Regions from separate parts of the Mus musculus genome. Here all the other regions are reported to be linked to region 2. Evidence: microRNA targets listed by miRTarBase, many of them from high-throughput screens and not tested one by one. Region 2 holds a microRNA gene; each other region holds the end of a gene's coding sequence.

What was found. The annotated mature microRNA mmu-miR-19b-3p reads UGUGCAAAUCCAUGCAAAACUGA and lies in region 2 at 1,699-1,721, opposite strand. An mRNA with a match to its seed (bases 2 to 7 or 8) in the 3' UTR can be bound and repressed. Matches are read on the target gene's strand: a 7mer-m8 pairs with bases 2 to 8, a 7mer-A1 pairs with bases 2 to 7 and ends in A, and an 8mer does both.
Region 1: the mRNA of Cblb is a reported target of mmu-miR-19b-3p. Seed matches in the 3' UTR shown: 7mer-m8 at 357-363.
Region 3: miRTarBase lists Kdm2a as a target of mmu-miR-19b-3p. Seed matches in the 3' UTR shown: 7mer-m8 at 1,787-1,793 and 7mer-m8 at 1,916-1,922.

The regions. Positions count from the first base shown.
Region 1 is chr16:52,204,371-52,208,070 of GRCm38, reverse strand. It overlaps Cblb (Casitas B-lineage lymphoma b), which reads right to left. Exons shown (of 18, transcript NM_001033238.1): 18 at 24-3,638. The coding sequence ends at 3,379. Among named protein-coding and RNA genes, the nearest start is that of Gm23513, 100 kb to the right of the region's middle.
Region 2 is chrX:52,740,293-52,744,956 of GRCm38, forward strand. Mir19b-2 (microRNA 19b-2) reads right to left here and starts at 1,774; the gene lies at 1,691-1,774. It overlaps Mir363 (microRNA 363), which reads right to left and starts at 1,475; the gene lies at 1,401-1,475. It overlaps Mir92-2 (microRNA 92-2), which reads right to left and starts at 1,636; the gene lies at 1,546-1,636. Mir20b (microRNA 20b) reads right to left here and starts at 1,900; the gene lies at 1,821-1,900. It also overlaps Mir18b, Mir106a and Kis2.
Region 3 is chr19:4,315,918-4,319,617 of GRCm38, reverse strand. It overlaps Kdm2a (lysine (K)-specific demethylase 2A), which reads left to right. Exons shown (of 21, transcript NM_001001984.2): 21 at 337-3,474. The coding sequence ends at 518. Among named protein-coding and RNA genes, the nearest start is that of Grk2, 12 kb to the right of the region's middle.

The DNA of each region.
Region 1 (3,700 bases), not on the chromosome of region 2:
TGAAAAATAACATACAAAAGGCATTTGTTAACATTCATTTTATAAAATACCTTAAAAGAACAGATAAAGTACTTGAGGTTTGTTACATATCCAGAAATGAAAAAAGAATAAAATATAAATTAATTGAACACATAGCTATTTTGCCACATTAGACAAGTCGTAAAAACTGCATTTCAAAACAATAAAAATAGGAACTGAGAAGAAAACTTTCTATTGCTGTCTTTTTCCAGAAAGTCTCCTTCGAAGCTCAACATTTCAGGCTTACAGAAAGTACCTGCATCAATATTTAAAATATACCACATTTTGATTCCAAATCAGTCCATTTGAGACATTTTAAAACCAGATGAGACAATTCAGTGCAAACTAAGGCTTCAAGTTGAAAATCCGAGAGGCAAAGTCACGTTCAAACTGCAGGAAATGCTTCTGGAACTGAACAATTAGGAAGTTCACATTATGAAGAGCTCTGCATGTGTCCTGGGTGTGTGAAATACTGAGTTAGCAAACAGACTTCTGAAGGTTGTAGCCAGGGCTCTGTTGTACTGTAGGGAGGGAGAACGTGGAAAAGGGCTATCTACTGGAATTGTGGGACCATGATAAGTTAAGCATCAAAATGCCAGTATTTGTGTCCAGAAAATTTGGCTGTGATATATATCAGATACCAAGAAGTCAGGTGCAGGGTGGGGGGTGGGGAGGATAAAAGGAAAAGGAAAAAAATAACTCCCCATTTCTAGAAAAACAATGACTGGAATATCATTGGAGATGGATCCCAGGTAGGGGTTACAATTAGCCATGGTTTGTTTTAATTGTGCAGACTATATAAGATATTGGATTGAGGGTAATTCTATTATCAGATCTTGAGCATGGGGGGGCACCTCAATTTCTGGATCAGAGGGAACAAAGTGTGGAACATTGTGTTAGTTAGCAACTATTAACTAGTAGTCCCTTTCAAAATGAAAAATAATTTCAACATTTTTTTTTCAAATAAATTTTGTGAGTTTTCCCATTTTCTCTTTGCTTTGTCTTACATATGACTCCTAAGATTCACTTTCCTTGATGAGAAAACCAACAGTGGCTACTGAGTGGCTGCAGTAGGGATCTTGGTACAATCCAGAAAATTATTTACACTTCCCTACCCTGCCGAAACTTCAGGTTCCAAAAAACTGTGTCAGCACATCCTTAGCTTTTAAATTCTGGAGGAAAATCTCTTGTACTTTCTGAGAGTGGAGGTGAATATGCTGTGGGTCCCAGGGTTCCTCTTGTAAACCTACCCCCTCCTCCTTTAAGGATGTTTTAACAGTGTAAGGACAACAAAGGGGCAACTCTAGGTATTAGGCTATGCTGATTGCTGGCAAGCTACATGAAGCCCAACAGACACAGCACTGTATCAGTATGACATCAGAACTTATAAAACAAGTACAGAAAGTAAGAGCAGATAAGAAAACAACAAATAGCCAATTGTAGAAAGTATAAAAAAAAACTTGTATTCATACCTCCTCCCAGGTATAGGATATGAAAACATTAAAAAAAAAAATACACCTCTGGTAGCAGAAGCAACATAAGACCATCCAAACAAACCTAAAATATGCAGACTAAGAGTCCTCAAATCCTGTCTCATTCCATAAAAGCCAAACTGTAAAAGAATGTGCTGGGTTCCCTTCCTGGACAAACACAGCTTTGTCCATGAGTCTTGTACAATGGCAGCTCCATCGGATCTGTCTGATGTACTTACTATCTTGTCATTTGTCAGGATAAGTGATTATCCGAGGCATCTCTGTATGTGAGACTAGGTGTGGAGTAACGAGTGGTAAGAAACATCCACACAAGCCTAAAATCAATGTTTAGAAACTATCAAAATGTGGTTCAAGCATTCTTGCACAGAGATAGTTTTTATTCTTTTCCCCCCACTATTAGGGATACAAAACAAAACAAAAACAAAAAACCAAAGAAACAAAAACCCCAACCCAACCTAACCCAACCCAACCCAAAAACCTGAAATTGCCACAGAGGTCTAAAGTCCTTACACCAATCTTGGAAGCTTCATCCATCAGACTGGAGACATTTACCACCAAACGCATCTACACAAATAATATGATGGAGTCCATGTGTGAGAGTTTGTGCTTTCAAAGCCCACAAGAGTGCAACGCACATTACAGATGGTCAAAAGATATCCATAGATTAGAAGTAACCACAGTTTCATCTGCCTGGATGGGGGCAACACAGAGCAGTCAACAACAAAACCCACAGAGTAAACAGGACTCCTACCATGAGTGGAGAAAGGGTACTAAGAGTTTTGCAACTTACAAGGCCTGCAGTTGCAGTGATACATAACAGTCGTCAGTGCCTTAGGGGGCTCCCACACTGTGAGGAGCCAGGGTGACATCATAAAATAGAAAATGGGCTCTATTCCACTTGGGAAAGGCATGTATGTCCATGACCTTATCTAAAGGCATATTAACATATTTCCAGGCGGTGGTCCCCTTTTCCATCTCTCCTGAAAGTGATGCAGGCATTAATATCAGGGCATCTCATTATGGTACTGGAGTACAAGCAGTCTCCTGCAAGCCTGTTTTCCCTGCATCTGCAGCAGTCACTTTTACAGCATTATGACACTCCTGGGTGGATGAGAGGGAGAGTTCGGGAACCTAAAGGTCACAGAACTTAAACTAACAAGAGAAGCTCTTTTATAGTATATAAAAACCCCTTACAAAAGGCAGTTTATTGACAAATAAATGCTTTTTACATTCAGGTTTTCCCCCACCTCTCAACAGTGATGGTTCCCAAAGAAAAGACTCAGTAGTGAAGACAAGACCACACACATTTTCCTTTTTCTTTCTGCATTAGTTTGAAACACTGAAAAATCAGGACCTTCAGACTAGCGTGCCGTGTGAATGGGAGAAATGGAATTGGACCTGGCTGGGGACATGAGGTGGGGCCCGGATAGAGAGCAAAACAAAGAGATGGTTTAGCCTCTGATGTGGGCACCAGGGCAGGCATGGAGAAACTTACAGCAGACCTGAGCAACTCTGCAAAGGGCCTGTCAGGAACACAGTACAGGGATCAAAAACAGAGACAAACTGCAATTCTGCCAACGTGTAAACAAGGAAAAGCATTTCACAGATTCAAAGTTCAAGGGGGAGTAAACGTCTTTAAATTATTTTATCAGTTCAACCCTGATTTCAAAGTATGGCTAGCACAAACACAGAAGCTTCAGTGTGGGCATCCTAAGAGAGCTGTGGAACCAGAGAAGCTGGACTCCAGGCTGCCTTCTGGGGAAGCCACACGGAAAGACACCGTGGCTCCTGCATTCCCTCTCAGTCCTTCTGTCTCATACTCCTGGAATATTTGTTAACTGCCCTTTGGTGTCTGCAGTTCTGGCTGCTATAGATTCAGACGTGGGGAGACAGGAGGGGGGAAGGCAAATTCTCGAAGTATGCTCCTGGCCACTTCCACGTTATTCTGGGCAATCTCTAAGGCTCTCTTCACCTCTTCAAAGGCATACCCCTCTCCCATGAGTTTTGCAATTTTTGCATCGACATTTTCCAACGCCGCTTCGGGCCCATGGGGCTTTCTGTGATGAATTTCTGGTGCAGTCCTTCGGGGTCGTGGTTTGGGGGGTCTAGCTGGTGCTTGCGAACCATCTGTGGAGATTGTCAAAGACAGATACCAGTGAAACAGTGAGATAAAAATGAACACTATAGAA
Region 2 (4,664 bases):
AGCTCCCTACAGTTGTTCTCAAATCACCACATGACACACACACTAAATAAGTAGATAGATAGATAGATAGATAGATAGATAGATAGATAGATAGATAGATAGATAAATGTATGTAAATGCTGGAAGTCTAGGAGTGGAGGGGTGCCTACCTTTAATCTCAGCATTCTAGAAGCAGAAACACACAGATCTCCGCAAGTTCAAGGCTAGCCTAGTTTACAAATTGAGTTCCAAGCTAACCAGAGCTACATACCAAGACGCTATTTTAGAAAAGCCAATAGTATTGCTAATTTAAAAAGAGAGCCATTGCCATATCCAGGGATCCATCCCATAATCAGCTTCCAAACGCTGACACCATTGCATACACTAGCAAGATTTTCCTGAAAGGACCCAGATATAGCTGTCTCTTGTGAGACTATGCTGGGGCCTAGCAAACACAGAAGTGGATGATCACAGTCAGCTATTGGATGGATCACAGGGTCCCCAATGGAGGAGCTAGAGAAAGTACCCAAGGAGCTAAAGGGATCTGCAACCCTATAGGTGGAACAACAATATGAACTAACCAGTACCCCGGAGCTCTTGTCTCTAGCTGCATATGTATCAAAAGATGGCCTAGTCAGCCATCACTGGAAAGAGAGGCCCTTTGGACTTGCAAACTTTATATGCCCCAGTACAGGGGAACGCCAGGGCCAAAAAGGGGGAGTGGGTGGGTAGGGGAGTGGGGGTGGGTGGGTATGGGGGACTTTTGGGATAGCATTGGAAATGTAAACGAGGAAAATACCTAATAAAAAAAAAGAGAGAAAAAAAAGAGAGCCCCAGGCTGGAGAGATGGCTCAGTGGTTAAGAGCACTGACTGCTCTTCCAGCGGTACTGAGTTCAAATCCCAGCAACCACATGGTGGCTCACAACCATCTGGAATGGGGTCTGATGCCACCTTCTGGTGTCTATGGAGACAGCTACAGTGTACTTGTCATATAATAAATAAATAAATAAATAAATAAATAGAATCTTTTAAAAAAGAAAAAAGAAACCCATTTTTTTTCAGACTTATATATCAGCTTTATTTTGCAAATTTCAGGTTTGTTTACATTCAGTGCAATCAAAATGTCAGGATTTCAAATATATTTAAAAATATGTAGTTTTAAAAAATTAGACTCCAAGCTGGGCGTGGTGGCGCACGCCTTTGATCCCAGCACTTGGGAGGCAGAGGCAGGCAGATTTCTGAGTTCGAGGCCACCCTGAGTGAGTTCCAGGACAGCCAGGGCTATACAGAGAAACTCTGTCTTGAAAAACCAAAAAAAAAAAAAAAAAATCCACTCCAAATGTGTTCAAAGCAATGACTAGCTAAAGGATTTTACAATCTTACTATAGCACTGATAGACGGCTGTCCACATAGGTCCTGCGGTTTACAGATGGATACCGTGCAATTTTCCTCCTATTACACCAACCAAAATTGCATCGTGTTCCACCTGATAACAGCAAAACAGTTCATTTCATAATTACAGTCTAACATAACTTACAATACTCAGAAACTAAAAGACGATTAAAAACCCTCTTTCTTCCTCAGGCCGGGACAAGTGCAATACTTTATATCTAACACAAGTAATGCCACCAATCCCCACCTGTGGATGAATGGGCATGGATGCTGAAGATGTGCATAAAGGTGTCCATTACGATGCAGAAAGGTACACATTCCCACAATCAGTTTTGCATGGATTTGCACAGCCATATATTCACATATACGCTGAACTGCAAATCTGCAAAACTAATCGTAAGTAGCAATGTCCTTGCGCTGTAGTTGCTTCAACAAGACCTTGGTTGATCCAGGAGTACTAGAAGTGCTCACACTGCAGTAGAGTGGTATAAAAACTACCTGCACTATGAGCACTTTGGCACTACTAGGATCCGAGCTTGTTCTTCTACACAACTGTATACTACAGTCTCCGCCATCTGTTTCTCGGCGAAACACTGAAAGAGCCTTTGAAACTTGTGCCGTTCAAATCATTTCTCAAGATATGCTTTTCAAATGCAAGGTAAGAAGTAGCCTGTGCGAGAAGGGGCATTTAGGGCAGTAGATTGTAAGCTGCTTCACTAACAGCACTAGATGCACCTTAACACAAGAGACACATTACAAGGAGCAGCTCAAAAACATCCACAATCTAACTATGCAGAAACCAGGGGACTCAGCGGCCTCTGATTAAATCACCATGGTAATGTAAGAAGTGCTGGCACTGCAGTAGAACTCAAAAAGCTACCTGCACTGTTAGCACTTTGACATGGCCAAGGCATACTCCAGGAGTGTAACCTTGAAGTCTTCCACGAACTCTTCTTTGCCAGATCTGCAGACTCACCTGGATAAACACACACACACACACACAGCAAGTAAGTGAACTGTGAGTTACTATTTCTAAAACAAGTTTGCCTTCCGTTAAGAGTGCAAATGGGGTTGTGTTACTTCAAACATTAATAAGCTCAATTATTTACACAGACTTAAACATGAATAACACTGGCAATCTCAGAATGTCTGACTCTTAAGAGTAAGAGGATTTTGGACTCCCTCTCCGTCTAAGGAAATTTGAGATTCGCATCCCAGAAAATTTGCAGAGCTGTAATATCCACCATGGTTTTCTAAGAGGCAAGAGCCCAGGAAAAGATGTAAGCAAAAAAATAAATAAATAACATTAGGGTGAGTACTGACGTCTTGAGCTCATCCAGAGCTTTGGGGAGCCACTCGGAAGGTCTCTATGTTTGATTACATGAAGCATCCCTGCCCCCAGCCCATTAAGAGAAAATGATAGAAATTTCAGAGCCGCTTTAAGAAACAGTTTTACACTCTTCACATACCGCACAGATGGCCTAGAGATGTCACATTTTCATCTATTTCAAAGGGCTCTACTTCTGTTTAAACATTTATGGACCCATTTTCTCCATTAAACCTAAAGAAGTCAGATTAGCTCTTTGGCTTCATGTCATTATCTTCCACAGGAAAAACCTCTCTCATTTCCAAGTGTGTATCTTACCCAGGAAAATGCTGCAGAGGACAGTCTGAGGGGTCACGAGCTCCCTCCCTCCCATGATGGAATGTTTGTGTTGATGGGGGGACACCAATAAACTTCAGGGACACAAAACTTGAAATGTGTTCAATGAGAAAGGATATTTTAAATGTTGGAACTTTTCGAAGCCACTTAGTGACTAAGATAGTTCTTAAAACATTTTAAATATAAATTAGCAAAACTTTTGAAGTAAATATGAAATCTGCTTCCTATAGTGCAAGTATTGGCTTATTATACTTTTCTTCTTGAACTGGGTTCCTACAACTAGAGATTTTTGCCTCCACTAAAAATATATTACAAAACCTGACTCAACTTCGCAAAACCATACCTCAGCCCTCCAGAGAAAGCTCCTTCTAGCTAATACCTTTCTTTAACACATCTGCTCTCCATCATATATACTAGAAAGTCGCTGTACAACTTCTAAAATTGCAAAGAGGACCCAGTCTTTTACCATTTCGGGATTTTCTCTGGTCTATTCCCGCATCTTCAGCAGCGGCTCCAGTAGAGATCTGTGAACCTCCTGGGAACGCAGGGTGTGCTCCAGCCAGTCATGCCACGCGCTTAGGTCTTCAAGACACCTTAGCGGCCACCAAAATTAAACAGAAAGAAACAAAGCATTATGGGAAACGGAGTTCTCCATTCAAAGCCCCCAAAACGCGCCAAGCTTAAGCCTCTCCCTCCATTCTCGGGTTGGTGGGAGGGAAACCAAGGTAGGTCGGGAGTCCTCCCGCCCCACACCCCACGTGCACCCTGGCATTTGACCACCCACAAGTTCTCCAGAAACCTTCAGAGCAACAAGGGAGAGTCCTTTTCTCACGAGTTGCCTGGCACCCCTCAACTACACTCAGGTACTTTGCTTTTCTCAAGTCTTGCCAGCTCCATCCCCTCCCACCTTAGTTAACTCTCTGGGATCACAGCTGCGCCCGCGGAGGTACGCATCTCCTGGTCCAGTCATCCAGAACAAGCGCGTAGGGGATCTGCCAGTGACCCGCCCTGGCAGGTGGCGCGCGCGACCATCCCGCTGCTGTCCTGCCTGCCAGGATCAGGGAACCGCACGCATCTTCCTAGAGCTCCTGGCCCTCTGCTCTCCTAGCTGGTGGAGGAGGGAGGGCGGCGAGGAGCCACGTGCAGGAAACGCGCCCCGGCGGCCCACGCACACCTAACCCCCAAAGTGTCCGCGCAGCACCACTTGTGCACACGAGCCTGTGGCAGCGGTCCGTCACCTCGAGCTGCGTCCCAAAGCCCGATCCCTGGGAAAAGCCCGCCCTTCGCCTTTAATAGCCTAGGGGGGAAAGCCCGCCCCCGCCCACTCGGCCCACACAGGAATTAGGAAATGGAACCCCCACACCGCCCAGGCCAAAGCCCACGGTGCCCCAGTGACACACAGGACCCGCTCCCTCAGCCTTGCCCTTCTGTCCCCAACACCAGAGTCCTTCCTTAATCCAAGCACCCATGGGATGCCAGTCTAAACCAGTGCCACAGTCGCCTGCCCAGAATGGCGCACTCATTACTACCTTGTCCGGTCAGGCTCCTGAAGCGCTTGTCCCATCCCCCTCTGGAGATAGGCTACGAGGCCCAAGCAGTTGTGGGACCCAGGTGTCCCCACGTCCCAAC
Region 3 (3,700 bases), not on the chromosome of region 2:
TGTGAGCCACCGTGTGGTTGCTGGGGTCTCTCCAGCCGTAAGAGACTTTTCTATTTCTTTTTAAACCAAAGATCTCTGAGGTGGGTAGTAAACTCAGGTGCCGGCATGTTTGGCTGCTGTCCAGCTGTAGTTTTGTCAGCCAGATGGCTCTTGTGCTGCTCACTTGCCCATGGTCCTTAGAGGCAGGCAGCAAGAGGCCACAATACTGATGGCAACCCCAGTATCTCTGCATGGTGACAGAGCATTGGAGAAAGATACTGGGATAACAGAGTGGCAGAAATGGGCCTCTGTGGCTATGTTTGTAATCTTTTTTTCTCTTGGCCATGTTGCCTACAGGTTGCAATAAATTGACAGACCAGACCCTGTTCTTCCTAAGGCGAATTGCTAATGTCACCTTGATTGACCTTCGAGGATGCAAACAGATCACGAGAAAAGCCTGTGAGCACTTCATCTCAGACTTGTCCATCAACAGCCTCTACTGCCTGTCTGATGAGAAACTGATACAGAAGATTAGCTAAGACATGCTCAGCCCAGACTGAACAGGAAAATCTTCCCCTGCCTTCCCACCAAGGAGAGTCTCTCCCTGACCCTGCGCAGGCTCTGAGGCCAACGACACATTCCCTCTCTGCTCTCTTTTCTCTGAGCCCTTCTCCCACAGGTGGGGCAGAGAGGTTGGTGGACACCAAGGTTATTGCCTGCTCCTCTCCCTCCCACGGAAAAGAAAGGAGAGGTTGATCAAGGAGAAAGCACAGGCTGTGCTATCCCAGTTCCTGCTTGCTTGCTCGTCTGCCAGCTAGGAAGCTGGGCTCTCAGTTTGGGGGAATTTGTGCATCTTTCACCTGCACTGGGCCAAGAACCCTACCTTCTCACCCATAGTCCCTAGCAGTGCCTGGTTCTGAGCATACTCTAGGGAGGAAGGCAGCCTTGCCTCCATGGCCAGATTCTCCTCATGGTGTCCGTTGCGTGTCTCTCCTCCGTTAAACTCTCCCGGCTTCTGCAGGAGGAGCCAACAGCCCTAGAAACACCAGGCCTGGCAGGTCTCAATGGTGCTGTGAGTTGTCTGAAGCTTTGCTCCATGTCTGTCATAGCCCTTTTTTCTTGTCCCTGAGCTTGATGCTGTCCAACACTCATAATACAGTCCCCATTCTGCCATCACCCCCTAAACTTTTCCACTAGTCACCCACTTGTCCTTTGTTGCACTTACTTGGGGTTATCAAAAGCTCTTCAGAGGAGCTGGAACTCTGCCCCTCCCCCCCCCCCCCGAAATGCCCATATCATTGCTACCCAGGCATATTCTAAGACAGGCATCATTAATACTCCCCACCCATTGCTGCCCACCAACTGCCCTTTTCCATTTGTCCTCTTTCTGCCTGAGCAGGGCTTTTCTAGAATTTGTGTCCTCAGAAGGAGCAGCATGTTTCTCCAGGTGGGGGAAACAGAAGACTGGTTGAATCCCCACCTGCCTCTCTAAGCCAGGCTTTTCTGGGCTCTGGTTTAGCATGGCCCTCTGAGCCCAGGCCTGTGTATAACCTAGCAGCTCACTGACCTGGTGCCTTTTAAGGGGAGTCCTGATTGAAAACCTACCCTCTGCCTGCAGCCTTGGAAGTGTGTGTGCATGTGCCTCTGTGTGTCTGGCTAAGTGTGCTGCACATATGTGCAGGGAAGGAGGGGAGCATGATGGCTCCCACTCCTCATCGCCCTTCTTCAAGCCCCATCAAGCTGCCCCCTTTGACTTTGCATTGAACGGCCTGTCCAAAGATCCTCTCTCTAGGGCAGCAGAGAGCTTTTTGCACTTTAGAAAAAAAAAAAAAATGAAAGAAAGAAAATGGTCGGAACTGTTCTGGGTCAATATTTAGAGTATGAGGAGATGCTCAGCAGAGGCCTGTGGCCAGAGTTTGTCAGTGATACATGCAAATTTGCACTCTGCTCCCCATCTATAGGAGATTGATAATTGATAGCACAGCCTTGCCCCGCCTTCTCTTAGCCCCAAACATATCCCTTCCCACTTCCCACCCCATTTCCTGGAATCTAGCCTCAGACTTTCCTAAACTCCATCAAGAGGGGACAGAGCCCGGGCACCATGAGTCTGAAGTGTGAACCGCCCAAGGAGAGATGCTAACTGTACCCTTGCCACTGCCAAAGCAATAGAGGCAGAAGTGTCCCCTCTGCCACTCAGCCCAGCTTTGACCCTGGCAATAACCAGACTTTTTCCAGGAAAACTGGGTTTCTGGCAAGGGATGGCATTGTTTCTTCCAATCTGCTGATTTCTCTTGGCTGCACCTTAAAAACAGCAGTCTGCTCCCTTGACCCTCTGCCATTCCATTGGTCTTCAGGTCCCAGAATCCTGGGCCTGAAATGTTGAGGAAACGCCAGTGACTTATTCCAGAGTGCCTCAGTTGGGGGAACTTCTGTAAAGAACCCTGGGTGTTGAGCAAAAACCTTATTAATACTATTAATGACCTATAATTAGAAGCTTCCTGACTTTTTTTCTTTTTGGTTGCTCCTGTGGAAAATACTAAAATTACTAAGTTTTGTTTGTTGTCTTTTTATGAAAGGGGAGGTGGAGAGACCCTTTCAGAGCAGGGATTGTGCCGGGAGAGTGCCTCTGCCCTTTGGGACAGTTCATCCACAGAAATTTCTAAGCTGATGGCTTGTCTGGGTTTTGGTCTTTGCATTTGAATTTAGAAAAAGCAAGCATTTTACCGCACAGAAATTTGTCAGTGGAAAAGGGAGCTCAGGGTGGTGGCAGATGGACTGACGCCCTTGCTGGGTCTTTTCTTTAGGACTATGAGGGAGAATGGTTTTTAGAGGTGAGAGTTGGTCCTTGCAAAAAGAGAGAAGTGTCTCCGAGGACGTAGAACATGCGAGTTCATAGTCCTGCATCTACTCTTAGCTGCAGTCTTGCCAGAGCCTGGCCTCAGACTGCAGGACCTGACCTCTGCCTTCATCTTTCCACATACTGGGGCAAAAAAACACAAAGGAAAGGAAGAAAATTATATATATATAATTATATATATATAATATAAAATCACTTGGTGATTAAAAAAATAACTGCTCAATAAATAAAACTCCTAAAGTCACTATGTTTAAAGGGTTTGGTTTTTTGGGGGTGGGTGGGAAATATTGTAAATATATATTTTTTGTTGCTTATTTAGAGTCGATCTCCAATGTTGTGCTAAGATTTTTAAATTAAATGTAAGCATTAAGGGAATGAGTCTTAGGCCACCAGCTGACACATTGGCATTATTTTGGGTCAGGGAAGGAAGAAAGCTAGTTGGACTTTGTTTTCTAAAAGTTTCCCACTTGGTTTTAGAAAGAGCAAAGATGTCTTTCTTCTGACACTTGGGAATGGGAGATATTTGTGTAATAAAATTTTTAAAAGACAAAAAAAGAAATAGCCTCCAATGGGAAATATTTTGATTTGGTTTTCTTTTTTGTTTTTGTTTTTAAATAAAAAGACTTTAAAAACAAAAACTAACCCCTTTCATTTTTGGTGTATGTGTATGTCTATCTAAGAGGATGTCAGAAGGTCATATAGACATGCTGATGTCTTGCTAAAACTAGGAAGTGCCTGCCCCACCACTCTGGACAGAAACATCTGTGGTACAAGCCTGTATACTTACTAGCTTTCTTAATGTCAAAAAGCAACACTTGCTCGATGAAGTTAAATTTTAAAAGTACTTTACATGTGATTGCAGGC